4 linked regions of the Oryctolagus cuniculus genome follow. The protein of the gene in region 1 purifies or fractionates together with the protein of each later gene. This does not show direct contact. Links are inferred from orthologs where the notes say so. Each region holds a gene or a part of one and is shown in the gene's direction. Other genes may lie near its edges.

Evidence for each region.
Region 2: the proteins of MTOR (region 1) and SQSTM1 purify together in Homo sapiens (affinity purification with western blotting; 4 studies listed by BioGRID, with this or other methods). This does not show direct contact. The link is inferred for Oryctolagus cuniculus from reciprocal best matches to the Homo sapiens genes MTOR and SQSTM1.
Region 3: the proteins of MTOR (region 1) and AKT1S1 purify together in Homo sapiens (affinity purification with western blotting; 8 studies listed by BioGRID and IntAct, with this or other methods). This does not show direct contact. The link is inferred for Oryctolagus cuniculus from reciprocal best matches to the Homo sapiens genes MTOR and AKT1S1.
Region 4: the proteins of MTOR (region 1) and FBXW7 purify together in Homo sapiens (affinity purification with western blotting; 9 studies listed by BioGRID and IntAct, with this or other methods). This does not show direct contact. The link is inferred for Oryctolagus cuniculus from reciprocal best matches to the Homo sapiens genes MTOR and FBXW7.

What each region holds. Positions count from the first base shown.
Region 1 is NC_091438.1:157,192,593-157,198,685, forward strand, and holds part of MTOR (serine/threonine-protein kinase mTOR), read left to right. Parts: intron 1-2,681; coding exon 2,682-2,762; intron 2,763-3,011; coding exon 3,012-3,092; intron 3,093-5,057; coding exon 5,058-5,163; intron 5,164-5,785; coding exon 5,786-5,801; 3' UTR 5,802-6,093. UniProt on the Homo sapiens protein: Serine/threonine protein kinase which is a central regulator of cellular metabolism, growth and survival in response to hormones, growth factors, nutrients, energy and stress signals.
Region 2 is NC_091437.1:67,650,799-67,658,250, reverse strand, and holds the start of SQSTM1 (sequestosome-1), read left to right. Parts: upstream 1-2,492; 5' UTR 2,493-2,853; coding exon 2,854-3,295; intron 3,296-5,457; coding exon 5,458-5,553; intron 5,554-5,869; coding exon 5,870-6,096; intron 6,097-6,193; coding exon 6,194-6,335; intron 6,336-7,301; coding exon 7,302-7,382; intron 7,383-7,452. UniProt on the Homo sapiens protein: Molecular adapter required for selective macroautophagy (aggrephagy) by acting as a bridge between polyubiquitinated proteins and autophagosomes.
Region 3 is NC_091449.1:7,693,820-7,701,295, forward strand, and holds the start of AKT1S1 (proline-rich AKT1 substrate 1), read left to right. Parts: upstream 1-3,058; 5' UTR 3,059-3,525; coding exon 3,526-3,764; exon of another isoform or gene 3,765-4,427; intron 4,428-5,227; coding exon 5,228-5,613; intron 5,614-6,613; coding exon 6,614-6,691; intron 6,692-6,762; coding exon 6,763-6,932; intron 6,933-7,459; coding exon 7,460-7,476. Other genes in the region: TBC1D17 (TBC1 domain family member 17), read right to left, coding at 427-634, 940-1,063, 1,838-1,912, 2,018-2,116, 2,550-2,570. UniProt on the Homo sapiens protein: Negative regulator of the mechanistic target of rapamycin complex 1 (mTORC1), an evolutionarily conserved central nutrient sensor that stimulates anabolic reactions and macromolecule biosynthesis to promote cellular biomass generation and growth.
Region 4 is NC_091439.1:12,126,972-12,133,954, forward strand, and holds part of FBXW7 (F-box/WD repeat-containing protein 7), read left to right. Parts: intron 1-1,671; exon of another isoform or gene 1,672-1,721; intron 1,722-2,358; coding exon 2,359-2,925; intron 2,926-6,983. UniProt on the Homo sapiens protein: Substrate recognition component of a SCF (SKP1-CUL1-F-box protein) E3 ubiquitin-protein ligase complex which mediates the ubiquitination and subsequent proteasomal degradation of target proteins.

The sequences.
Region 1 (6,093 bases):
GAAAGGTGAGCTAGGAGGTCCCCACGAGGAAGCCCGGAGTCCGATCGCAGCACTGACGCCGATGTGCGTGAGACGGCGGGGAGCAGCACTCTGCGTGTGCGCCATGCCCGGGAGGGACGGCTGCAGGAGCTGGGCTGAGGGGCGTCCCCTCTGACTTGTACTCAGGGGGCACTTGGGCTGGGAGCACTTCACCACCACCTACCAGACACGGGGAAGGTTCCCTGATTGGAGGCATGGAATCTGGATGGGTAGGGGGAAGGGTGCTTCCTGGGTTATAGTGTCCTACAGGGACGCCGGGATGGGATCTGGGAAGACCTCACTCGCCGAGGCTCCTGGGTAGCTCCAGGCATGCTGAGACCCGCTGGTCTCTTTCTCATGACCCAGCTCAGGAATGTTACGGAGTGACTCCTTATGCTGTCTGCAGTGTGCATGGAAGAATTGGGACAACCCGTTCTGGTGGCACCAGATGGTGGGGGACCCGTTGTTTTTAATGTAGCTTAAAAGTTAAGTTCCAGGGCCGGTGTTATAGTGCAGCGAGTTAAGCTGCCGCCTGCGTGGCATCCCATATTGGAGTGCCAGTTCAAGGCCTGACTGCTCCAGTTCTGATCCAGCTCCTGCTGATGCACCTGGGAAAGCAGTGGAGGATGATCAGAGTAACTTGGGACCCTGCCAGGTTGGAGCTCCTGGCTCCTGGCTTCAGCCTGGCCCAGCCCTGGCCGTTGGGGCCATCTGGGGAATGAACCAGTGGATGGAAGACCTCTGAAGACCACAGTCAGTGGTGGGAGACCCCAACATCTGAGGACATTGTCTACCCAGAATGGATAGCAGGTTTCTCTAAGAAATAGCACTTCAACCACGTGTATAACCCATTGCCAAGCTGATTGTGTTGACATTATTGTCCATTTTTATCCAGCAAGATCTGTTTGGTCACCAAACCTTTGACCTTTACTCCATTCTCTGTCAGAACATTTTATTAATGCTATTTGCTTGGAAATTCATGTTTTATTTCTGATAAATACCATATTCTTCAATTATAATAATTCACATTTAAATATGGCTTTTAGATTTAAAAACTTCTAAATTTACAGAGAGTAACACAAAGCTGCCTCTGTCCTTTTCCATTTGAGGTAGGTAAGGCAGGTGTTAAGGGGAATACAGTACATATAAAGAATTTTTTTAAATATATATTTCACTTTTTTTAGACTTACTTATTTATTTGAAAGTCAGAATTACATAGAGAGAAGAAGAGGCAGAGAGACAGAGAGTGTGAGACAGAGGTTTTCCATCTGCTGGTTCATTCCCCAGTTGGCTGCAATGGCCAGAGCTGTGCTGATCTGAAGCCAGGAGCTTCTTCCAGGTCTCCTACATAGGTTCAGGGACCCAAGGACTTGGGCCATCTTCTGCTGCTTTCCCAGGCCACAGCAGAGAGCTGGATTAGAAGTTGAGCAGCCAGGGGCCGGTGCCATGGCTCACTTGGTTAATCCTCCGCCTTGCGGCACCGGCATCCCGTATGGGTGCTGGGTTCTAGTTCCGGTCGCTCCTCTTCCAGTCCAGCTCTCTGCTGTGGCCCGGGAGTGCAGTGGAGGATGGCCCAAGTGCTTGCGTGCCTGCACCTGCATGGGAGACCAGGAAGAAGCACCTGGCTCCTGGCTTCAGATTGGCGCAACGCCGGCCGTAGCGGCCATTTGGGGAGTGAACCAATGGAAGGAAGATCTTTCTCTCTGTCTCTCTCTATCTATAACTCTACCTGCCAAAGAAAAAAAGAAGTTACAGCCAGGACTTGAACCGGCGCCCATATGGGATCCTGGCACTGCAGGCAGCAGCTTTACCCACTCCACCACAGCGCCAGCCCCAGTACATGAAGAATTAAAAGCTGGGGCCAGTGTTTTGGCACAGCAGGTTAAGCTACTTCTTGCAGTGCTGACACCCCACATTATCAGAGTGCCGGTTGGAGTCCCAGCTGTTCTGCTTCTGAGCCAGCGCCCTGCAAATGTGCCTGGGAAGACAGCAAAAGCTGGCACAAGTACTTCCCCTGCCACCCATGCAGGAGACCAGTGTTGAGGAGTAAACCAGCGGCTGAATGAGCTCTCTCTCCCCCTCACAGTCTCTCCCTCCCTCTCTCTGTTGCTCTGCCTTTCAAATAAATACTTTTAAAAATATGTATTTAAGAGGCAGAGTTACAGAAGGAAGGGGAAAAACCAAGAGTGAGTGAGAAATCTACCTGCTGATTCAGTCCCCCAAATGGCTGTTATGGCCAGGACTGGGCCAGGCTGAAGCCAGGAGCCAGGAGCTTCTTCCAGGTCTCTCACATGGGTGGCAGGGGCCCAAGGACTTGGGCCATCTTCTGCTGCTTTCTCATGCACATTAGCAGGGAGCTGGATTAGAAGTGGAACAGCCGGGACTGGAACCGGTGCCTGTATGGCAGTCAGCGGTTTTACCCACTGTGCCAGCCCCCATAAATAATATTTAAAAAGGGGGAAAAAGAGGTAGCTGGCGTTCAGACCTGCCCAGCTGCAGCCATTGCAGCCATTTGGGGAGTGAACCAGTGGATGGAAGACCTCTCTCTCCCTCTCTCTAACTCTGCTTTTCAAAAAAATTAATTTTTCAAAAAAGAAAAAAAAACTGATGGGAGTTATGGCTTGTTGGTGTTTTATTTTTCCATTAATTGATTTTCCCCCTAGAAATTTTGGACGGTGTAGAACTTGGAGAACCAGCCCATAAGAAAACGGGGACCACAGTGCCAGAATCCATTCATTCTTTCAGTAAGTTCCCCCGCGGGACGGGCTGGTGCCTGGCTTGGGAGGAGAGTCACTGCTGTGTCGCGCAGAGAGGCCACAGCGGGAAGTCCAAGTCGCACAGCAGCCTCTGAGCAGGGGCGTCTCCGCTGATCCTCTCCTGAGGACGCAGAAGACGCGGCACTGGCGACAGTGAACACTCGAGGGAAGCAGCGGAGCCCCCTGCATCCGTTGCAGTCTGATTCTTACTGTTGTTTTGACTTTTGTGTGTTCCAGTTGGAGACGGGTTGGTGAAACCAGAAGCCCTAAATAAGAAAGCCATTCAGATCATTAACAGGGTCCGCGATAAGCTCACTGGTGAGTGTGCGTGGACCTGGAATGAAGCGGGAGCAGACGGTCCTCTCCCTGCTTGGCGGTCAGGGCTGAGCGCGGACCCCGAGCGGCTCACGGGAACGCGTGCGAGGCCATGCGTTAAGCACGCTCCCTGTCTTGTGGTAACCAGTAACAGTGAAACTTGACGTTAGTCTGATCTCACTGACCTCAGGAGGTGAGTGAAGCTCATCCTGCTCCTAGGAGTGCGTTGTCCTGATTCACTCCGGAGCCACTCTGACCGCTCCGGGTCCTTGCCGCTCGGCTTTTGCCCTTTTTATTTTTTATTAATAGAAAAAGAACAGATTTCCTGAAGGTACAGTTCTCAGGATATGCAGCACTTCCCTCAGTCCCTCCCTCCCTCCCTCCTCTTTCCTTCCTTCCTTCTTTAATTGTTGTGATAACACATTTTTAATTGACCTTATAGACGCAGGCTTCGTGCTGCACTGAATACAGAGTTCAGCAGGGAACAGCAGACAGCACAGCCTGCCCCGCACGTCCCCTCTCAGGGAGGTGTCCCTGTGCTCTGTACGTTAGAGCACAGAGCACCGAGGACAGAGGCAGCATGTCCCTCCTTCCGCTCGGCGTAGTGGTCTCCGGGTGCATCCGTTTTGCTGCAGAAGACAGGATTTCATTCTTTTTTACGGCAGAGTAGCATTCCATCGTGCAGGTTTACGTCTTCTCTCTCTGGTCATCAGTTGATGTACTCCCTGTGCTTTGAGAGCTGTCACGGAGGGAAGGGGGGGGGAGACACATACTCTTGAAAAGGAGACAGCTCATGTCCGTCATCTGCCTCCTGACCAGGAGGTGATGTGACTCAGGGGTGGGACCTAGAGAAGCCAGAGACCCCCGCTCCCCCTGCAGCCTGTGACCTCGGCCCCCGCCTCGTCAGCTGGCAGGTGATGGAAAGCATCTAGGGTCTAGGTTTGCGCTGTGAAACCCCGCCTCCTGCCTGCTCTCGAGGGGAGAAGGGAGCAGAAGCAAAGCAGGACCATTGATGAGACTGGGCGTGGAGGGGGTGGGGATGGACTCTCGAGGTCTTGAGGAGGTGAAATAAAAATTAATTAATCAAAAAAAAAAAAAAAAAAAAGGATGGGCAGGAGGGCTAAGGAAGGCTCCGGGATGGCTGCAAGGCACCGGTGACTCCTGAGCGGTGTGGGGCGCAGCAGCCGGACCGCAGCAGGTGCAGAGAGCGCGAGCGCCAAGTGGTCAGGAAAGGGAGGAGCTTCAAAGGCCGAGTAGTGTGTGCCCCAGGGAGAGGGCGGGGGAGAGAAGCACCTGCCTACAAGTACGTGTGAAAGACACCGTATGATAAGAGGGAGTTTGTGCAGTTTGTGCGGTATGAAAGAAAGGACGATCAATGCCAGGAGCCACCTGGGAAAGCAGGCGGGGCCAGGTCCTCAGTGGGAGGGAGGAGGCAGCTCTCCAGGGCGGAGGACGGAGTGGGGGGGGGGAGGCGAATCCAGCCCCTCCAACACGCACTCGAACACTGGGGCCCCAGAACCCTGTGTAATGCATTAGTTGCCGGGCTGGAGATGGGGCACCTGCTGAGGGCGAGGCAGAAGGAGGGGTGTGGACATCCGGGGCTGCAGAGAGGACGTGAAGTGGTCTTGTGACATACGCAGCGGGAGGTGTTGACTTTCCAGTGGAAGCGGGCTCCCGGCATTAACACCGAGTGGGTGTTCTCCTGCACTTGTCCACCTCACAGAGGACTTTGGAATATTCTGAATCCTCCCAACCCCACTTCTGAACTAAGCCAGCTCAGGACGTGATATTCAGTGGACCAAGTCTGTGTTAGGAGAAGCAGACTAGTGAATTTTTAAATCCAGCTGCGGTGTATCCTCCACGCTGGCGTGTGAGATACGCTGACATGGGCTGCGTGGACAGCTGTGCCGGAGGACGGGGTGCGTGGTAACCAGGTGCAGATTAAAGTGTTTGTGCCTCTCCACCCAGGTCGGGACTTCTCGCACGATGACACTCTGGACGTCCCAACACAAGTGGAACTGCTCATCAAGCAAGCCACGTCCCATGAGAACCTCTGCCAGTGCTACATCGGCTGGTAAGCAGGCATCCCAGAGTACCTTGGCAACAGTGCACGGGCAGGACCCCACCCGGGCCCAGGGTAGCCGAGGAAGATTGGGTGGGGTGTCTGTCATGGGCATTTAGGAGCTCACATCTCCAGATGTCTGTTTTCACTTTGTGTGCTCATTGTTCTAACGGGAAGAAAACTGAGACATAGGCATGCACATTTGGAAGGCAAACACACACACAAAATCACAGTTAGAGATGGCGTAGGAGGACAGGCCGGGCCTGAGGAGTCCTTCTTGGATTTTTGCAGTCATTGCAATTCAGATACAGGCAAGGCCGAAGAAGCCAGAGCAGTGACAGAGAGATGAAAAGACAGATTCATGACCTAGGAGGCTCGCCTCAAGGACCAGCTGGGTGCACTTGGAGTGATTGCCTGAGGCGCGCCTGGAGGCAGCAGGAAGTGTCCGCAGGGGGTGCGCCCCCCCCCCCATGCCGAGGATGAGAGGAGGACGTGTGTGTCCCATGCAATTAGCTGTGGAAGAGCTCAGGGAATGCGGCTTGTCAGACCTCTGTCTCGCCCTTGTCAGGGTAACTGGGGAAGCTTTGAAGGAGCTGAGCTTATTAAAATATTCCTTTTCTGCCTGCCTCCCTAGGTGTCCTTTCTGGTAACCGAAGGCCCAGACGTGCGCACAGCGTTTCTCCTGAGGCTTCTCTACTTCAGTGTACGCCTCCACTAAGCGAGCTCTGGCCAGGAAGCTCGACTTGGTGAAATGTTCTAAGTGTACATGAAAGACTACTGTATATTCCAAGTTGGTCTGAGCCAACTTTCCAGCTGCTGTTGAAGAATGACTGTCAGAAACACAGGCTTGCTGTGGTCCCCGGGCCAGTGGGACGGGGCACCCGGGGAAGAAGCCACTGATCTGGGGAGCAGAGGTCCTTAACGTTAGATACGGGTTCTACT
Region 2 (7,452 bases), on another chromosome or scaffold:
TTGCTAAGGGCTGGGACTGTTTGGGAAGGAAGCAGGGGAGAACCAGGGAGGTGGTGACAACTAGCAGACAGCAGCAGAGTCCTGTGGCCGCTCCGCTCTGCTCCCAGAACCCCCCGAACCTCCGGCTTACACCTCCAAGGATGGCAAAGCGTTAGCACACCTGTGGGACGCGGCCGCGGAGGGGCAGTGCCAGCTCTCCCAGGCGGCCCCATTTCGGGGATAAGGACAACTGAGTCCGGTCGCGTGCCCGGAGGTGGTCCGCTGACGCAAGCGCCAGGCTCTCCCCGCGCCCTGGACGTGGACTCACAGGAGGCTGGGGGTGTGGGGGCTCCCTGCACCTAGGGGAGGGGGATGACGTCAGAGGTCGGAAAGGGGCCAGGACCGTTTGGTGTTCTGGGGCCCGTCCGGTAGGCGGTCACCGAGACGAGCGAAGGGCCGGGGATCCCCCTGTTGTGACGGCGGGTCATGGGACGCTGACTCACCGCGGGCCGGACCACCTGACCCTGCGGAGGCAGCCTGAGAGGGCCCTGGCAGGGGGTTCCCCGGCCCGCCGGCCACCGCCTTGTTTACCTCCGCGCCGGCTCGAGAGGGCGCCCCGCCCCTCGCAGCAGCAGGGCATGCTGGGAAGGCCCGCTGGGTAGGGGTCTCCAGCCCGGCTCCCCGGGGTCCCATTTCCAGTCCCCCCTCCCCCCAGGCTCTGCACCCTTCGCTGGGAAGCCCCGCTCGGTTCCAAACGGGGCCAAACCGCGAGAGAACGAAGGTGTTCCTGGCGGCGGCCTGGTGGGCTCCGGTGTCCTGGCGGGGGTGGGGGATGCAGGAGGAGGGCGGCCCCTGGAGCGCTCCCTGACAGCCCTGGTCCACCTGAGGCCGCCTTCAGACCCAGGGGAGCCGGGCGGCCCACCCCTGGGCTCCGTGGCGCTCGGGCTGCTGTTGCTGAGTCACGCTTGGCTGGCACCTGCCGCAGGCCGAAGCCTCTGCCCAGCACGCCCCTCACTGGCGGGACTCCCGACCCTGTGTTGGGGCAGAGGGGCCAGCAGGCCCAGGGACACTTTCCCAAGGCTCACAGCGGCAGGGATCATGGACCAGCCTCTCCAAGGCTGCTCCTGGCACGGGAGCCTGGCTGGCTTCGCTGGGCAGGATCCCGTTACTCCTGTGGCCTGGCCACCTGTGCATCTGCCTAACCCCCATCCAACCAGCCCACCCTCATCGCTGGGCTTCCCAAGCTGCTCCCACAAACTTGACCTGAAAGGGGGGGGGTTTGACCCAACAGGGCTGACTCTTAGTCACAGGACCTGCCTGGGAGGTCTGGGGGGGGGGGTGACACACCTCCCTTCCCAGCGCCTTCCCCCAGGCCTTGCAGACAGGTCACTTTGGTCCCAGGAAGCAGAGTTTCTGGATTCCCAGCTGAAAGGTGACTGGTCCCATCCCCTTGGCCGCCCTTGTGGCCAACACTCTTGAGGCCCTACAGGCAGGCACCTGCTGCATTGGCCCCCTGCCCTGACAGGTCTGTTAGGCAGCCTGCATCTGTGAGAGGGAAGAAATGGGAATTTGTGTGGCTGGGTGAGGGAAGAACCACAGAAGCAAGCCTGGGAAGCAGAGCAGTATTTACATCTCAAAAGTCTTAGTTTCAGGTGGGGCCAGTGCTGTGGCGCAGCAGCTGAGCCTTCACCTGCAGCGCCGCATCCCATTTGGGCACCGGTTGTGTCCCGACTGCTCCTCTTCTGATCCAGCTCTCTGCTATGACCTGGGAAAGCAGTGGAGGATGGCCCAAGTCCTTGGGACCCTGCACCCACGTGGGAGACCTGGAAGGAACTCCTGGCTTCGAAGTAGTTCAACTCTGGCTGTTGCAGCCATTTGGGGAGTGAACCAGCAGAGGGAAGACCTCTCTCTTTATCCAAAACTCTGCCTGTAAAATAAATAAACACATTTTTAAAAAAAGAGCCTTGGTCTCCTTCTATAACCTTGTTGAGTGGGTCCCAGCCTTTTCCCAGGGGCAGCTTAGAGAAATCCCTGCCCTGCATTGGGGGGGTGTGTGTGTGTGTGTGTGGCTATTAGGTCCAATAATACTGCTGATGAAGTTCTGGGAGGAATTTCAGGAATTCCACACTCTGGAAGCCCTTCCCCCAGACGTGTCCCAGAAGGGGAGGGGAGGGGAGAGGAGAAAGAGGGCTATACCCGTATCCATAGAAACCCCAGTCTGAAAGCAGGTGGGTTCAGCTCTTGATGGAGATGCCCGCCTACTCTGTCAGGTGCATTCTTTTCATCAGACTTGGCCAGCACGCTTGCTGCTATTCTGTCCCATGGCTGAAGTTCTTGTGCTAAAACAAGGACCCCTGATCAACCATTCCTGGTGATGGTGAGGAAGGGCCTGGGGCGTCAGGCTCAGCCTGCTGGGCTCACAGGGCTGGGGGCGTCCATGTGTCTTTTTGAGCTGCAGTCAGCACTTGGTGACTGACTGCCGTCGCTAGTGGACGAGCCGGCCAGCCGGCCCTGGACAGCTAGGGACGCTCATGCAGGAGGCTGTGGTTGGTGTAGGGCTGCCTTCTGGGGGTCACGCATGGCAGGGCAGCAGGGTACCCTAGCAGCCAGCTGGTTCCGGCTGGTGGTGCCCACTGGGCAGCCTAGATGCCTCCTGGGATAGAGGGCTCTGTGTGTCCTCCTCTGTCCTGTGCTGGGCAACCCCTGCTGATGACCAGGGACCTGCTCTGCTGAGTCACAGCCAGGCCCAAGCCGGAGAGGGGCCTCGGACAGGACCCCAGCCCATTCCTTTCAGGAGGTACAGATGCTGAGGCCTGCTCTGGGGGTCTCCGGTGCCCTGGGGGCAATGAGGGGACAGACTGAGAGCGGTAGACCATGTCAAAGGGCAGCGGGGAGAGGGGCAAGCAGGCACGGGGCCCTGGCAGGGAGACTCGCGAGAGGCGGCCCCGGCGGTGGGGGGCGGCACCCGAAGAGTGCAGGCTCCGCCCCCAGGAGTCCACGTCGGGCGGGGCTTCCGCGTGCCCTACAAAAGCCACGCGCCACTGGCGCCACCGCCGCCGCCTCCTCCGGTGCTCCCTCGGTTGCGCAGCTGCTCGTCGTTCTCCGGCTGCGATGGCGTCGCTCACCGTGAAGGCCTACCTCCTGGGCAAAGAGGAGGCGGCGCGCGAGATCCGCCGCTTTAGCTTCTGCTTCAGCCCGGAGCCGGAGGCCGAGGCCGAAGCAGCGGCCGGCCCCGGGCCCTGCGAGCGGCTGTTGGCCCGGGTGGCCGCTCTGTTCCCGGCGCTGCGGCCCGGCGGCTTCCAGGCGCACTACCGCGGTGAGCGGGCCGGGGGGTGGCCGGGGTCCGGGGCTGCCCTTTCCTAGTCGGTGCCGGCTGCGTCGGAAGGGATGCTGTGCTGGTCGCGCTCTGGGTGAGCGGTGACCTGCGCGTACCCCACTTGCACCTCGGGTGCCAGCCCAGTGACCCAGGCCCTGTCCCTCAGGGGCCGAGGCGATCAGGCCCCGCGGGCTGGGGACTTTGGGTCGTTAGATGCTTCCTGTTCCCCGCCATAATGTTGCAGATCTCGCCAAGGACGCGCCGGGGCGTCCTCTCTGGCCCTGGGCTGAGAAGGTGGTCAGGCGGGCACTCGGGTTACACTGACATCTTGCTGCTGCCGGGGCTGGGCCCGCCGGCGCCAGGTTTGCGTTCAGCGAGCCCTGAAAGTGGGTGGTGGGCGTGGGCGGCTGGGGGACGCAGGGCCCTTGAGCCCGGGGTAGGCCGCAGGTCGCCCAGGGACAAGGCAGTGGGGAGACGGCCGATGTCGAAACGTTCTCCACAAACTCAGAGTGGGGACAAGCCCGGAGCCACCGCTCTTTCTGGCTGCGCTGCTCAGACCGGTAGCTGCTGCTGGGGGTGGGGTCCCGGGACAGCAGTGTGGGAGGGAGGTCCTCGGCCAAGGCCCGCCCCTGGGAGGGAGCAGGGCTGGGACCGCCCTCAGTAGCTTGCCCAGCATTTTTTTTTTTTTTAATTTCCTGGTGACAATTTTATTGAGCTGTAATTCACATACCATAAAATTTACTCATTTAAAGTATATAATTCAAGGGTTTAAAATTTTATTTCATTTTGAAAGGGCAGAGAGACACATACACACACACCCCAACCTACCATCTGCTGGTTCACTCCCCAATGGCTACAGCTGCCAGCCCCAGCCAGGCCAGGAGCCTGAACTCCATCAGTGTCTCCCAGGAGGGTAGCAGCAACCCAGGCACTTGAACCATCCTTTGCTGCCTCCTCCAGTGCACATTAGCAGGAAACGGGATCAGAAGTGGAGTGGCCTGGACTCCAACCAGGCACTTTCATATGGGCTGCCAGTGTTCCGGGCTGCCAGTTAGCCGCTGCAGAAATGCCTGCCCCGATGCAGTGGTCTTTAACACATTCACCAGTTGGAACTTCTGAGCAGACTTGGGGCTGGAGAGCGGGGCCAGGCGCTGGCAGTCAGCATGAGAACCCCTTCCTCTCCACTGGAACCCCATGCCTTTTACCTGTCTCCCTCAGCTCCTGCAACGCTGAGCTGCTTTCTCTCCTGGGCGTCCTCTTCTGGACAGTGGTGGAGAGGGGGTTGTACAGTTTAGCTTTGTGTCTGGCTTCTTTCCTTAGGGAAATGCGTTCAGGTTCATCAGAGGTGTAGGCTGCATCTGTATTCGTTTCTTTTGTGGATATGCCATATCGTGTTTGTGTCATTAGTTGATGGACTTTTGGGTTGTTTCGCAAAAGTGCCACTCTTGCTCTGAGGGTAGATGTTGCCCTCTGGTGCCCAAGTCCAGGCCCCGCCTGCAGCCTGTGCACGGTGCGGTCTGGTCTGGTCTGTGTGGCAATGCTTTAAAATCACGGAAGCCAACATAGAAGGACTCAGCCTTTTTTCTTCGTTGGAGAAAGCAGCAGGCCTCTGGGCTCATCTCCACTTAAACATTGCAGACAGCCCAGAGCCTTTGGCGGGCTGGGCCTCTGAGGGACAGGGCACTGTTATTGTCCGTGTAGTGTACGCGGAAACTTTGCCTTTTAGGTGTGACCGTGGCCCAGGTTCAGGCCCAGGCGGGCACACTTCCTGTCCAGTGAATGGGCAGGCTCCCTTCTTATCCCCGATCTGTCCAGCCCCACCCCTAAAGAAGTGGCCTTGGTGGGCATCAGGCCTAGTGGTTAGTTCACCCATTAAGATACCTGGGGCCCGTGTTGGATCCCAGCTCCCGACTCCAGCTTCCTGCCAGGACAGATGCTGGCAGGGGGTAGGTGAAAGTTCAAGTAATTGGGTCCTCACCTCCTACATGGGAGCCCTGGATTGAGTTCCTGGCTTCTGCCCAGCCCAGTCCCGGCCCTTGATAGGAGCTCTGCTTGTCTACCATGTCTCAAAAATAAATAAGAAGGTGGCAAGTTGAGTATTGAGGCCACCAGTGCTCCTTTGGCCCCCGCTGCGGTGCTTACGTGCTGCGTTGACTCTCTAGATGAGGACGGGGACCTGGTCGCCTTCTCCAGTGATGAGGAACTGACGATGGCCATGTGCTACGTGAAAGATGACATCTTCCGTATTTATATTAAAGGTAAGGGAATAGGGGAGCTGGGTGCTCCCCACTGGGTAAAACAGGCCCTGACTGTCCTCTGCAGGCAGTGCGGGGCGGAGGGCTCCGTGTTCCCCCGGAGCCACGGGCTTGGGCAGTTTCGGGGGTGTGGGTGAGGAGCACCACCAAAGGTGCGGACGCGGCGCCGCAGCGGGTTCCCGTGTTGCTCTGATGCTGTCTGCTGAGCCGGCTTGGGGGCTGGAGGGCGGGCCCAGCAGCTTGTAGTCCCAGCCCCACAGTGGTGCCGGAGGGGGAAGACTGCTGGGGCCTCACCCGAAGGCTCCCCACCTCCCTGCAGAGAAGAAGGAGTGCCGGCGGGACCACCGCCCGCCCTGTGCCCAGGAGGCGCCCCGCAACATGGTGCACCCCAACGTGATCTGCGATGGTTGCAATGGGCCCGTGGTGGGAACCCGCTACAAGTGCAGTGTCTGCCCGGACTACGACCTGTGCGGGGCCTGCGAGGCGAAGGGCCTGCACCAGGAGCACAGCAAGCTCGCCTTCCCCAGCCCCTTCGGCCACTTGGAGGTGAGCAGCCCCTCTCCGTGGGCCTGGGCTGGGGCTAGGGGGTGACAGGGGCTCCCGGCCTCTCACTGCCTGGTGCCTCTGCTTACTCCTCCCCCAGGGCTTCTCCCACAGCCGCTGGCTCCGGAAGCTGAGACATGGGCACTTCGGGTGGCCAGGCTGGGAGATGGGCCCCCCAGGGAACTGGAGCCCACGCCCTCCTCGAGCGGGGGAAGCCCGCCCCAGCTGCGCAGCAGAATCAGGTGAGGTTGTTGCCCCTGCTGGCTTCGGCAAGGCAGCAGTAGCCAGGCAGCCTGTGCGTGCTTTGCATCCCGAATGTCTGCGTGCCCACCTCGGTCTGCACACTTCCGAGACCTCTGCAGCATTCGGTCGGCATGAGAATCCTGCAGAGTGGACTGAGTTTCAACCCCCACGTCCAGTCCTTCCTGCCTTTCCAGGCAAAGGCAAAGAGGCCCTCCCAGGCACTAGTTGTTTTTTGGTAAAGATTTATTTATTTGAAAGAGTTACAGAGAGGGAGGGATACGACAGAGATCTTTCATCCGCTGGTTCACTCACCAGATGGCCACGACAGCCAGGGCTGGGTCAAGCCAAAACCAGGAGCTCCATCTGGGTCTCCGACGTGTGGGTAGCAGGGGCCAAAACACTTGGGCCAACTTCGGCTGCTTTCCCCAGGCCTTTCTAGGGGGCTGCATTGGAAGTGGAGCAGCCAGGACACACTCCTGTATGGTTTGCCAGTCGCAGGGACAGCTTTACCTGCATGCTGCATCGCCGGCCCCTGGTTCTCTTGTTTTAGCTATCAGGAACCTTATAGCCATAGTGCTCGTCTTTTTAAAATCATAGTCACAAAGTTAAACACTGACACATAGCTTTGCGCTCCAGCTTTTTGGATTCTGGGTTTGTTCTGATTTCATTAATTTTGTGACCATTGATTTACTTCATCTTTTGGAACAAAAGTGGGTTTGTGTGTTTGATTTTGAGCAAATGGCCCTTGCAGGATAAAGTCACCTGTTACGTACCGCATGTAAGGAGACTGCGGGTTACTGAGCATGGGGGGGTGTCTCAGAAGGGGGCATGGTCCAGGAGAGCGAGTGCTGAGTGTGGGCCGCCGGGTCAGGGCTTGGGTTGGATGTCACTTGGGATGAGTTAGGACTGTGACAGCTATGAATCACCAAATTAAAGGTATCTATTTTTGTTTATAAAAATCAAAGCTTCTGGTCCATCAGAGGATCCCAACGTGAACTTCCTGAAGAATGTGGGGGAGAGTGTGGCAGCTGCCCTTAGCCCTCTGGGTAAGTGAGCGCCCCCATGTGGCCGTGAAGGCTCCCAGCACATTGCAGAGTCAGTGGACTTTGCACCTTT
Region 3 (7,476 bases), on another chromosome or scaffold:
TGACAGGGGGCTGAGGTGGGGGTCCTGTGGGAAGCTAGGGGGGCCGGGGCTGAGGCAGGGACATTGGTGACAGGGGGCCGGGACTGAGGCGGGGGTCCTGGGGGGGGCCAGGGCTGAGGTGGGGACACGGGGACAGGGAGCGCAGGCTGGGGCCATCCGCAGCACCCCAGCCGCCCCTGGAGTGACACTGCAGGCAGAGGGCGGAGCTGGCAGCAGGGGTGGGTGTGTGGCCCAGGGCTGACCCATGAGAGCGCCCATTTCCCTGGCCAAGGGGGAGTGACCCAGAGCCGAGCCGGTGAGAGGTGGGCCTGCGGTGGTGCCGGGGCAGGGGAGATGCCTTCTACCTCCTGGGGCCGCGGGGCCACCTGCGTTTCCCAGCCTTGAACCAGCTCCCCAGCCCCGAGGGGACGCCCCGGGTCGGCTCACCTGGCCAGCAGCAGGTAGCGGCTGAGCACGCGCAGCAGGGCCCGGGTGCCCCCGCGGTGGAAGTGCAGGGCGGGCAGGGAGCCTCCGGCCTGGGTCACCAGGACCAGGTAGGCCCAGCTGAGGCCCGGCTTGGACCGCCGGATGGACTTGAGCTCACCCAGGCTCACCGAGAAGGCCCAGGGGCCCTGGGAGGAGCCGGGCTCTGCACCTGGGGGACGGCACGGCGTTGGGCGCACGGGAAGCTGGCCCCGGGCCCCAGCCTCCTGACTCTGGGCCACCGCCCGCTGCCTGGGGAGTGGAGCCCGGTGGCGGTGTGCCGGTTCTGGGCTCCCCGGCCTCCCTCTGCCTTGGACTTCGGCAGGTGATGCACCCACGGCCAACCCAGAAGCCCGGGGGTTGGGCACAGCCACAAGCCCTGCCCCCAGCCACCTCTTCTCTCCTGGGACTGGGGGCAGAGACTCCTGAGAACACGGGTCCCCCACCCCGGCCCCCACAGCCTCCAGCTCGGCCCACCTCTCGGGGGCCCCGATGGCCGGGCCCGCGGCCGCACGGTGCTGATGACGGCCCAGTCAGGTTCATAGCCGGGGTCAAAAGTCGGCTCCTCCTCAGAGGCGCAGGAGTAGCCCCCACTGGAGTCCTTGGGGCAGAGGAAGAGAGTGAGGGGCCACGGACTCATGGCTTCTAGGTATGAGCGCAGCCTCGTAGGGAAACTGAGGCACAGAGGTGGCATGGCACTTGCCCAGGGTTACCCGGCACAGCCAGGACTGGAACCCGAGGCTCCTGGTGCCCAGGCGGCAGCTGGGCAGCCATGGCAGGAGACACCCCGTGCCCACGAGGACAGCTAGCACCAGAGACCTGAGGACCAGCGGCGGCGGGCGCACAGGGACGCCGGAGCCCCACACGCTGCAGGCGGCCACGTGCAACAGGGCCGGGCTGGGGACACGGTGCGGCACTTCCTCCCCAGGCCCGGCAACGCCGCTCCGCGGGGAGTGCCCAGGACAAGGGGAACGTGTCCACGCCAGAAGGCATTCACAGACAGCCCGACAGAGACGTGGCCCAGCCTCAGGCAGCTGCCAGGCCCCGGGGGAGGCCCCTGGGTGCGGTGACGGCCATCACTGAGGCCAATGGGCTTACTACGAAGCCGGGTCTTCACAGCCCACCGACCTCCTGCTGAGTAGCCTCGCGCCCGGGGCCGGACAGGGGCGCAGGGAGGGGGCGAGCGGCGGCAGTGGCCTCTGCACCTGGGCGGGCCTCCGCTCTCCTTCCTCCAACGGGCGTCCTCGGCCCACCTCACCCAGAGGCCGAGAGGACCCGGGCCCCGGCCAGGCATCCCCGGGCCCCAGGGGCAGGCCTGGGACTGGACCCCGGGGAAGCGCGCGGTGCCAGGGCACGCAGGGCGCAGCACACTGACCTTCTTGGAGAACAGGATCTGCGTGCAGTCTCCGGCCTCCTCCACGGGGGCCCAGTGCAGCAGCACATCGCCGTCCTGGGGGGAGTGGGACAGGTCCCGGGGCTCAGCCCTCCGAGTGGGAGCCACGGACGCCCTCAAGGCCGGGCCCCCTGCACGCCGCGTCCACCCCACCCGGCCCACCTTCTCCACCACACGGATGACGCCCGCGATGAGCGAGTCCGGGTCCTGGTGCTTCTTGGCGCTGGTGTGCAGGTACACGCCGCCCTTCTCGAACACTACCTGGGGGCGGGACCCGAAGGGAGCCGATGGGGGCGGGTCCGGCGGGAGCCAATGGGGGCGGGTCTGGAGGGGGCGGGGCCCCGAAGGGAGCCGTGGGGGCGGGTCCGGCGGGAGCCAATGGGCGCGGGTCCGGGGGGAGCCAATGGGGGCGAGTCTGGCGGGGGCGGGGCCCCGAAGGGAGCCGATGGGGGCGGACCAGGGAAGTCAGCGCGTGGAGGCCCCGCCCACAGGGCGGCCGCGCGCTCCGAAAGGGGCGGAGCTCGCAAGGTCCCCAGAGTCCGGGGGCGGGGCTAGGGGGTAGGGTCTTCCCACACCCGGTTCCCACGGCTCTGTGGAGTTCCGGGCCTCCCTGGCACGGCCTGGGGAGAGGCAGATCACCGGACAGGGTCGTTTCGCATAGGCAGAAGCGAGTGAATGCGCCCCCAGTGCTTACCCTGTAGCCGGCTCCCTCCATAGCCTCGGTCGAGATCCTGCTGCCCCAGCCTCCTCCTTTTCCGGGTCAACGTAGTGTCATATCCGGAAGGGAGACTCCCCCGCACGGCCGCACGGTGGTTGCGCCCTTATGCATTCTAGAGCAGGAGTGGGTGAAACCATCTTTTAGACATGGGGGGGTGGAATTCTAAGGATGCGAGTCACATGGCGCGGACTCTAGCAGAGGAGCTGGCCAGCGAGAGTGCGCAGGCTCAGTGTCACGGTGCTCACCACGAAGTAAACAAGTGGGAGGATCCGGGGCTCCTCCCCGTGTCTCCCTGAAACCGCCCCCTTCCTGCTTCGTACTGTGTACTGGCAGCGAAGCCAAGGGGTGCCATGTTGCTCGAGGGCACGGCCGTACCCGCTAGCCTGAGGCCATGTTAATGCGGGGCAGTTCCATCTCTCTGCGGGGCGAGGTAGCGAGGTGCTCGAGAAGAGGAACGGATAAAGGCAAAGAAGGTGAGAGGAGCTGTGCGTCGCCCGAGAGCCGACGGACTCGGTACGACGGGACCAAGCCGTCGGCGTCCCCAGGACCGAAGCTGTCCCAGGCGAATTCCTGAGTCACCCTCGAAGCGGGCCGAGTCGCCATGTTGAAGCTGGGCAAACCGAAGCGAGAAATGCTGCCATCTTGGGTCTTTGCCAGCCTTGGCTTCGGAGGGGGTATAGGTTAGAGGGAGAGAGAGCCCATATACACGACGGGCAGGTGAAGCCAGGCTGGTTGCCATGTCGTTAACGGGCACCACTTCCACTTTGTGGAAGAAAGGGTGAGGAACGTTAGGTCGCCCTCCCTAGTTTCTCGTGGTCACGTGTAAGCATGTGTGGGCGGCCATATTTTCTGAGGGCTCCTCGAAGCGGCTTAAGCTGGTAAGCCATTTCCACCATCTTTGTTGTGGGCTAGCCACTGTGGCCAACACTCCCACGGACCTGGATCGAACCCCATGGCGGCCATCTTGGTCTCGGGCGAGCCAGATAAGGAAGGAGGGGAGTCACCCGGAAGTGACATCAGCCCGCCGCCATGCCTTTTGAGGGCGGCGACGGCGCCTGTCCGGCCATGCTGGCTACGGGCACGTGAGTGGAGGCGGCGTTGTGAACCGCGGTGTTGGGAGGATTTGGCCATCCTGAGGCAGAGGGGCTCCGGGAAGGCGCCCGGCTCACGGGAGTGGTATGGCCTGCATAGGTCAGAGGGCAGAGCTAGCCCAGCGGCACGTGGCTGAGCGCTGGAGGGGGGTCGCCCGCGAGAACCGTCGTGTCTGACTCTAGGCAGAGCCTGGACACCCTCATTTTCCGGTGTTCGGACCCACAGGGGTCCTCACCTGGGCCGCGGACCCCGTCCACGGGCCCGAGGGGGTTGTTGGAGGGGCTCCGGGCGCCCCTCACCCGCCCAAAGGCGGGACTTCCGGCCCTGGCCCTCACCTGGGCGGGATTTCCTGTTTTGCTGGGAAAGCGGGTCAGGCCTGGATCCCCGGGGGCTGCGGGGAGGTCGCGGGGCGGCGGCCCCAAGGTCCGCCCGCGCAGGGGTGCCCCGTGCCCCTTGTTAGGGCCGCTTCCAGTCTGACAGGCTGGGGGGGCTTGGCCAGCCGCCCTCCTCCCTGGGGAGCGAGCCCCCGCCCGCACCCCGGGCCTGGCTGCTGGCCTCGGTCGCTGCTCCCCCCGGTTAGGTCCTGTTCCCTGGTGTTGGGAGCCGCGCGCCGTCGGTCAGCGAGCCCCTCCCTGCCCCCTGCCCACGCCGCCCGGTCCCACCCTGGGGCTTCGGGCCGGTGCCTCACTTCCCACCGGATGAGCGGCTCACCGATGGGTGCTGTAACCCCGGTGCTGGGCAGGCCCGGGCCGCTGGCTGTCGGTGAGCGCCCAGCTGAGGGGTCTGGGCACAGGGCAGGGCCAGGCCCACTGGCCTCTGGGATGCCGAGCTGCGAGGGGCACGCGGACCGGACCGCAGCTGGGCCTGAGCCCCCAGTCCCTGACGACACAGAGACAGGGCCAGGCCCTACCCCCTGAGCTGCACCTGCAGGCTGCTTGCCCGGGGACGCAGGGCTCTGGTGTAGGGCCCACGGTGCAGGGAGCCTAGGGCCTGGGTGGCGTGGGGATCGCGGAGGGCCTCTGGGGGCCGCTCCAGCCTTGCAGGAAGCAAGAAGCGGTGGGTGGTCCTCGGGCAGACAGCGGCCCCCCAGTCACGCCGACCACAGGCCCCGCGAGGAGACGGTGTTGCTCAGACGTGGGGGCCCGAAGCAGGAGTTTAGGAAGAGGGAAAGTTGCGTCCACGACAGGACGATGGGAAGCTTGGCCAAGAGCTGTGGGGAGCTGGGGGGAGAGCCCAGTGTTGCCCGTGGGGGCGGCGGGCCCTTGTCCTGGGTGCGGGAGGACCCTCCTGGGGCTGGGGTCACGGTGGGGGGGGACGGCTGTGCCACAAGGAACGTGGGCTCCGTGGCAGCCGCGGCCGGACGTCCCCATCTGCTTACTGCAAACGCCCCTGCCCCGCCCCGCCCACTGGACCCCACAGGAGACAGTCAGGCCCGGCGGAGGCAGAGCTGGCACTCGGCTGGGCATCAGATGCTGGCGGGAGGGACCTGGGTGGGCTCCCAGGGTGGACGGGAGCTGCGGCAGCCAGGCCTCAGCTCCCCCGTGTCCTGCTCTGGCCCACAGGGCGCGGATGGCGTTGGGGCGCCCGGAGGAGCTGTGGGAGGCTGTGGTGGGGGCCGCCGAGCGCTTCCGGGCCCGCACAGGCACGGAGCTGGTGCTGCTGACCGCGGCGCCGCCGCCGCCGCCCCGGCCGGGCCCCTGCGCCTATGCAGCCCACGGCCGGGGGGCGCTGGCCGAGGCCGCCCGCCGCTGCCTGCACGATATCGCCCTGGCCCACAGGGCCGCCGCCGCCGCCCGGCCCCCAGCGCCCCCACCAGTGCCGCAGCCTCCCAGTCCCGCACCCAGCCCGCCCCGGCCTGCCCTGCCCAGGGAGGACGACGAGGAGGACGAGGACGCGCCCACAGAGACCGAGACCTCTGGGGAGCGGCTCGGCGTCAGCGATAATGGAGGTGAGGGGAGGCGGGGGCTGGTCCCGGGCCCTCCTGTCCCCGGAGCCGCGGCCGCTTGCTGTGGCCCCGTGTGACCCGCCCTGAGCCTCATGCCAGCTCCTGCCGGGGGCTGGCACAGGCCGAGCTCCGGGGCGTCTTCCTTGGAGGCGAGGGGCTAGTGGTTCAGCCACGGAATCGGAGGCCTGAGCTGAGGCTGGGGGAGGGGGCGTGGCTGGTGCCCCTGGAGAGCGGCCTTCTCGCCTCGCCCCGGAAGCCCCCCCCAGCAGCCTGGCTCTGAGCCTGGCCCTGTCACGAGTAAGCCGTGGGACCCCGGGCGAGTGACTCCATCTCCATCAGACGGAGGTCACGCCGCGTCCGGTTTCTCTGAGCCCGCGTGGGGCTGAGCGGTGTCGCGGGACTGCAGCCAGATGCTGGCGCCCCGCGTGTGCCGGGGACCCGGCGGGTGACCCGGGGTGGGTGCTGTGGGCACGGTGATGGCGGGGCCCTCAGCCCCGGGGTGACCCGGGGTGGGTGCTGTGGGCACAGTGATGGCGGGGCCCTCAGCCCCGGGGTGACCCGGGGTGGGTGCTGTGGGCACAGTGATGGCGGGGCCCTCAGCCCCGGGGTGACCTGGGGTGGGTGCTGTGGGCACGGTGATGGCGGGGCCCTCAGCCCCGGGGTGACCCGGGGTGGGTGCTGTGGGCACAGTGATGGCGGGGCCCTCACGGCCTGGGGTGACCCGGGGTGGGTGCTGTGGGTACGGTGATGGCGGGGCCCTCAGCCCCGGGGTGACCTGGGGTGGGTGCTGTGGGCACGGTGATGGCGGGGCCCTCAGCCCCGGGGTGACCTGGGGTGGGTGCTGTGGGCACGGTGATGGCGGGGCCCTCAGCCCCGGGGTGACCTGGGGTGGGTGCTGTGGGCACGGTGATGGCGGGGCCCTCAGCCCCGGGGTGACCTGGGGTGGGTGCTGTGGGCACAGTGATGGCGGGGCCCTCACGGCCCGGGGCCCGCCCCCTCCCAGGGCTGTTTGTGATGGACGAGGACGCCACCCTCCAGGACCTGCCCCCCTTCTGTGAGTCGGACCCCGAGAGCACGGACGGTGAGTGCCGCAGCCCCTCCCGGGCGGGGCGGGAGGGCGGGGACGGAAGCTGACGGGCGCCTTTCCTCCAGACGGCAGCCTCAGCGAGGAGACCCCCGCTGGCCCCCCAGCCCACTCAGTGCCCCCGGCCTCAGCCCTGCCCACTCAGCAGTACGCCAAGTCCCTGCCCGTGTCCGTGCCCGTCTGGGCCTTCAAGGAGAAGAGGACGGAGGCGCGGTCGTCGGACGAGGAGAACGGGCCGGTGAGGGGCACTGGGCCAGGGAAGGGGTGGCCGCGGATGGAGGCCTCCCCTCGGCTGCTGCTCCCTGCAGATGGGCCCGCTCTGGGCGGGGTGGCGGGCAGGGCGCCCCCGGGTGCAGGATCTGGGCTGGGCACCCCAGGCAGAGGGCGAGTGGGGCACTGAGGGCCCGGCCCCCTGAGGTCGGCCCCACCCGGAGCTGCAGGCCCAGGTCACAGCGGGGACCCCGCCTGCCCCAGGCTGTAGGGGCCCAGGCAGGGTCCACCAGCTGTGACGTGGGTCCCATCTGGGGCCAGGAGCTGCGGGGGCACCAGGCCTGCATGGGAGCGTGGAGTGACAGCTGATGGCCTGTCCGCGACCTCACATCAGCCCCATTGTCAGAGCGGGGGGCTCACTGGCTCACCGGCTCACCGCAGCCTGCCCAGATCTTCAGATCTGAGGCCCTGTGCCGGAGTGAGGGCTGCGGGACGTGGGGCAGGGCCAGGGACGGAGCAGGCGGTGAGCACCCTCACCCGTCGCCCTGTCCGCAGCCCTCCTCGCCGGACCT
Region 4 (6,983 bases), on another chromosome or scaffold:
GCCTGGGTTGTCATGCCGTTGACTCTGAGTCCAGTGTTAATGAAACAGCAATATATATTAAGTAAGCTAACTTTAGACAGAAACACCCATATGGCTATGCATTGATTGGCTGCAAAAGTGTTGTGATCAGAGGCTTGTAGAAACTGTATTTCCCCTAAGGAGCAGTGGTTCAGTTTCCTAATTCAGTGGTTAGAGGGACTTCATAGAATACAATTACTATGAAGAATGAGAATTAACTATTTAATTAAAGCTGTAATTTATAGAGACTTTAGGCATGGAAATTATGGAAATGTTCCATAATTTCTTTTTTCTGAAACTGACATTTCAGGTTATGTTTGAATATAAGCATATAGTTATAATGTAAAATCTAATTTTACTGTGGGTTCTGATTAAAAAAAAAATGGCTAAATACCATTGATTAGCATGTAAAGAAGCATTTCTAAACATTACTCCTTCCGAAAATTACTATGTGCCCGAGCATACTGAGTGTCCCATGAATATTTGTTTTAGAGTAATAATCTTTGAGCACTGTAGTAATTCTGGTTTTTGGAAAGAAGGTAATAATAATGTGAGAGAATAATATTCTTTTGGTAGTTTATTATACGTGATTCTTGCAGACTGAGAGACATGAAGGAAGACGCAGTTTGAGTGTCAGGTTCTTGGGTGTGCTTTGCTTCAAGCCAGCAGTCTTATCTCTGAGCCTTGATTGCCTGGTGTGTGAAGTGAGGAACATTTTCAATGTAAATAAGAAAGGAACTTTCTTTGATTATCAGTGATATTCCTGACTGTGAACTGTTTTCGTTCTCTTCACATCCAATTGCTAAGGAAATAGTGCAATTAACATCAACATATAGCCATCAGATTTTATTTTTACTAAACTTGAATTTAATCTCATTAATTATCAATAAAAGCATACATTATTTATTTCATATGTTTTGACATTATGTACTTCTGTTGGTAAGAAGAAATAGCAACTTTATATTGATTTTTAAGATAATAGGAATCTGTTTGCTGATGTTTGTGTTTTATGTGACCATCTTCTAAGTCACACAGAATTTTTCTCGAAGAATTAATTTTAAAAGCACAAGTATGCATTCTGGGAAAACAGAATTTCATTTTGATTTTTTTTCTGATTGGCAGTTTTAAGTTTTAGATCATGAGTGCTTTTTTAAAAAATGTGTATAATATGTTGATATTATTTTACGTAACCTCAAACCTGTCCACACAGATATCAGCAAAGGAAAAAATTTCAGAATGAACATTATGAAAAGATGTTCTATTGAATAACATTTTGGAGCCTGTGTGAAACATAAAAGTAAATATATTTGATGTATAAAATTTGAGAAATTTGGTAAAAATGAATTGAAAGCATCTAGAATACAACTGCTCAAAATACAGCTTATTTTAAAAATATTATCTTCTAGGCTGTCTGCAGATTAAGAATCATTCTGTGATCATATAATTTCCTGCATTTTTCCCTTAACATAATGTGATATATATATCCACATTTTAATGAACATGATATTTAGGAACTGTGCTAAATAAATTCCATTTTATCACTTCTTTTATCTTTAACATTTGTTTTATTTACATTTATTTTTACCTTTATTTTTTGCTTTTGTGGATAAAGCTGCCATGAGCATCCTCTGTATAATTTTTTTTCTGTTTTAGGATTACTTCCTTAGGATAGATTGCCAGAAGTGGAGTTACTGGGTCAGAGGGTATGAACTTAAGAACTTTTTCCTCTCCCCCCCAAAAATTTTTTTTGTTTACTTGCTATTTAGTTGCTTTATGTTCACTGTGAAAAGCGAAAATCACAATGATAATCACTGTTACCTTGTTAGAAAACTGTATCTGAAGGGCAGGATTCTGTCGTCAGAGAAGTTTAAGACAATTCCAGAGTAAAAAGGTTGTGTTAAGTTGATTTACCTCAGCATTTCCTGAAATTGAGCACTGAATAATTTTTTTTTGGTGATAACACTTCTTAACACTTTGTCAAAGTTTTACATAGTCTATAGTTTATGAGCTGTTGACCTAAAACTTAAAATTATTTTATTAGTTAAGTTAGTTTTATTAGTTATATTTTATTTGTTGAAACAAACTATAAAGAACTATTAAAAGAAGCATATTAAAATAAAGCTGTTTACTGTATTTATGTGTATGTCTTTATAAAGCCTCATAACTTTTATAATTTTATAATATCAACTTTCTATATTGATTACTGAAGAACATCTTGATGCCTCCATGGCACTGAATACTCTTTGCATTCTTTATGATATTTAGACTATAAGCATGAAACATAAAGGTAAAAGAAATTGGAGATTGTACAAACCTGTTTTTCCCCATTTTCCCCTGCAGAATGTGAAAACCTTTGCATCTTGTGATAGTTTGGCCAAGGTCCAAGAAGTAGCAAGCTGGCTTTTGGAAATGAATCAGGAACTGCTCTCTGTGGGCAGCAAAAGACGACGAAGTGGAGGCTCTCTGAGAGGCAACCCTTCCTCAAGCCAGGCAGATGAGGAGCAGATGAACCGCGTGGTCGAGGAGGGCCCGCAGCAGCAGCAGCTGAGACCAGAGGAGGAACACACTGCAAGGAATGGTGAGGTTGTTGGAGCTGAACTTAGACCTGGAGACCAAAATGATTCCCAGCAAGGACCCTTGGAAGAAAACAATAATCGATTTATTTCAGTAGATGAGGACTCCTCAGGAAACCCAGAGCAAGAGGAGGATGAAGAACATGCTGGTGAGCAAGAGGAGGAGGATGAAGAGGAAGAGGAGATGGACCAGGAGAGTGATGACTTTGATCAGTCTGATGACAGTAGCCGTGAAGATGAACATACACATAGTAACAGTGTCACAAATTCCAGTAGTGTTGTGGACCTGCCCATTCACCAACTCTCCTCCTCATTCTATACAAAGACAACAAAAGTGAGTGTATTCCATCTCCTATTAACTTGAGATACTTTGTGTATCTATTTTAATTGTCGTAGAACTTTCCTTACAGTTTTTGTATTATCGCAAACTAATCTTAGCATGTGTAATAATAAAAGGAACTGCTTTTGTTTTACAAAGGTATTAGAAAGTATTACAGATAGAAATACTAATACTGGCACAAACTTATTTTAAATGGAGAAAGGTAATTGATCCTGTTACAGTGAAAAATGGTTCACATCAAATTCCTTCTAAACTGTGCTCCCAGGGCAAGCGTTAGTGGGTTGTGTGGGAACAGGTCGTGTGGGGTGAGGAAAGTTGAGGCGAAACGTGATCTGTGTAAATCAAGTAATGAAGACTCTTTCACTGCCAAAGTGCAGCTGCTGTGTGGGCTGTACGCTGGTGTTTCTCCAACACATGCTACTGGAAGTTGCCTCACATTGGTTCTGGTTCTTTATTTGTGATTCGAAAATTATATACAAATCTTGACTGTCTGTGTTGATTAGACTTACTGAGTTAAAGTGTACTTTGGAAATGAACATTTTAACTTGAGTAATAGTTTTGCAGACACTAACATGAATAATGTTTCTGATGGTCCATCCACTCACTCTTGTTTGCTTGGTTTTTAATTTTACAGTGAATCATTGATTTGGCCCATAAATAATGTACAGTTTTAACATCATCTCCTTTAAGTATTTTACACATGTAAATTAATGCTTGCATTGCTGAATCATCACTTCAGCTTTTAAAATTCCTTCTAAAACATATTTACGCCTGAATTCCCTGGCCTATCTGCAAGTTACATGCCCTGCTAACAGCTCCAGTCCTGTTTGTTAGTAAAGCTGAGATCATACATAGCGTAATATCCCCAGCTTTCATCCCCAGTCTGGATCTAGCTTTGTTAAATTGCTGTATCAAAAGAGGCCATTTACACACACACGCACACACACACACACGCACACGCAGATACGCCCTTTCTTCCCCCCTTCTTTTCCTTAGGGCTTGGGAGTGGGGTTTAGTTGTGTGATGTTATCTAAGGAAGGAGTCCAGTCACACCTCAGCCTGGCTGAGGCGGTCACTGATTTCTCCTAGGAAAAAGTGACTAGACAAACTGTATCTTTTTCCTACATCATAATATTCTGTTGAAAAATGTTATACAGACTTACCTTTTCTTTACACTCAGGATGAAATCATAAGTATAACTTAGCTGTATTTTAATAAACAATGTATACTGACTTTATGGTAGTTTTTCCTAGTGATTCTATTATTATTAACAAGTATTTGTACATACAAGACAACAGGAGTGGATCGGGAAACCAGCAGTGTACACACTTTTGGTACATTGTTTATCATGAGGTCATTTGCCTTCATACGTATGGCACAGAGAATAGAAAGCTTCTGCATTGCAAAGCACTAGTGCCCTTCTTCAAAGTAGGATCTCAGCCTGAAACTGACTTGTCTTTTCTTTTTCGTTCATTCCTGAAACTCTTCTTCAGGATTGTTCCCGGAGTATGTAATTTTTCAACAACACTTAAAGTCATCTGTTACTGCATTGCTTAAGAAGAAAGTGTCAGTCACCCCATGTATAAATCTCTGGAAATGAAAAAAGAAACTCTCACTATTTCAAGTACTTTGTTTTGGAAGAGCTTTGAATTCTTGATCATTATAAACATAAGACACTTCTACAGATCTTGCTGTAGGGCAGCTTATTTAAGTCTTCACTTTAGGAAAGAGTAGAAACATAAGAATCATCTTAAAAATACCATTTTTAAATGTAAATATAGGATTGACTTTCTACAGTATTACACAACATACTTTGCAAATTTTACTTTCTGGCTGTTTTCTTTTTTTTTTTTTTTTAAGATTTTATTTATTTATTTGACAGGTAGAGTTACAGACAGTGAGAGAGAGACAGAGAGAAAGGTCTTCTTTCCATTGGTTCACTCCCCAAATGGCCACAACGGCCAGAGCTGCATCAATCCGAAGCCGGGAGCCAGGTGCTTCTCCTGGTCTCCCATGCAGGTGCAGGCCCCAAGCACTTGGGCCATCCTCCACTGCACTCCCGGGCCAGCATTGAGCCCTGCACCAGCATTCGAGCTGGCTACCCAGTGGCTGCACTTGAAATCCTTCAAAGGCTCTCTAGGATACTTGGAATAAAATTCAGACTGTGGTATTTGATTCCAGGTCATTTTCTTTTCTTTTTCTTTTCTTTCTTTCTTTTTTTTTTTTTTTTATTTGACAGATAGACAGTGAGAGAGACAGAGAGAAAGGTCTTCCTTCCGTTGGTTCACCCCCCAAATGGCTGCTACAGCTGGAGCTATGCCGATCTGAAGCCAGGAGCTAGGTGCTTCTTCCTGGTGTCCCATGCGGGTGCAGGGGCCCAAGCACTTGGGCCATCCTCCACTGCCTTCCCGGGCCACAGCAGAGAGCTGGCCTGGAAGAGGAGCAACCGGGACTAGAACCAGCACCCATATGGGATGCCGGCACTGCAGGCTGGAAGATTAACCTAGTGTGCCATGGCGCCGGCCCTCTGGCAGTTTTCTTAAAAAAAAAAAAAAAAATTTGGACAGCTAGACATATACATTACTCCTGAATATGCTTCTTATGCAAATATGATGTCAATGAAAAAGATATTGGCTCTAACTTGCATTTGTTTCTTCTCTGAAAACATTGAAAACTCAAAATTCTGAGCACAGTATTTTTAACCCTAGTAATTTTATATATATATATATATTTTTTTTTTTTAAAGATTTATTTATCTGATGGGGAGAGTGACAGGGAGAGATCTTCCATTTGCTGGTTCACTCCCCAGATGTGCCAGGGCTTGTCCAGACCAAAGTCAGCAGATGGAGCTCCATCTGCATCTCCCACTTGGGTGGCAGGGGAAGGTATCTTCTGCTGCCTCACCAGGCTCATCAGTCAGGAAACTGGATTAGAGCTGGAGAAGCTAGAACTTCAGCTGGCACTGTGATACGGGATGCCAGCATTGCAGGTGTCAGCCAGGCTCACTGCACCACAACACTGGCCCCCTAAAGGTTTATTCTTATGGGAGCCCATAGCAAACAGTAAATATTAGAAAATCCAATTGTCCTAATATTAAAAGTCAAGAGTAATGGTCGTTAGGAATTGCTGTTTAGGGACGAGTGTTTGGTTGAGCAGTTAAGATACTCATTAAGACGCCCTGTCCCTTTTTCAAGTACGTGGATTCAGTGCCTTATTATGGCTTCTGATTCCATTCAAGTACTAACCAGGCCCGACCCTGCTTAGCTGCTGAGGTAGATGAGATCATGCGTGTTCAGGGTGGTACGGCCATAGGCCTGGCTTCTAATTCCTTATTCCTGCCTGTGCATACACTGGGAGGCAGCAAGTAATGGCTCAAGTGTTCGAGTCCCTACCACTTGTATGAGAGACCTGAATTCAGTTCTCAGCTCCTAACATCAACCTTGCCAGGCCTAGCTGAGCCCAGCCCAGCTCTGGCTGTTACTGGCATTTGGGGAGTGAGCCAGTGAATGATTTTTCCGTCTGTCTTTCACTGACTCTGGAACCAATTTTAGAAGAAGCAGAAGCATCAGAAGCAAGATTTGCCATTTGTTAAGCCCATACTGTACAAGTTCCTGTGACACACAGGTAAATAGAGAGTCCAAATGATTCATCCCAAATCATACCATAAATTATGAGAGATTTTGTTGTGCAGAATTTCAAAAAATTTTCTTCTTTTCATGTGCTATGCTGCCCCCTATGGTGGAACTTGGCAAACATTACTAAACAAAATATTTTTATTGAGGATGTGACAGTTGAGGGTAAAGTTGTAACAGGAAGAAATGATAGTGTAAACAAAGAAATCTGCAACTGGGTAACAGAACTCACTCTCACTAGATTCTGTTAACTATGCTTCTTAGCCAGGATTGTGTGTTGGCTAGTTCTCTATAAATTCATTAGAATGTCTGTAAATTTGAGAGCCAGTTTGCTTCTCTCCTTGTCACAACAGACAGAGGTGCTCAGCTTACACTGCAGAAAACTTGACTTAGAGCAGATGCGGGGAGCCATTTTTCGTC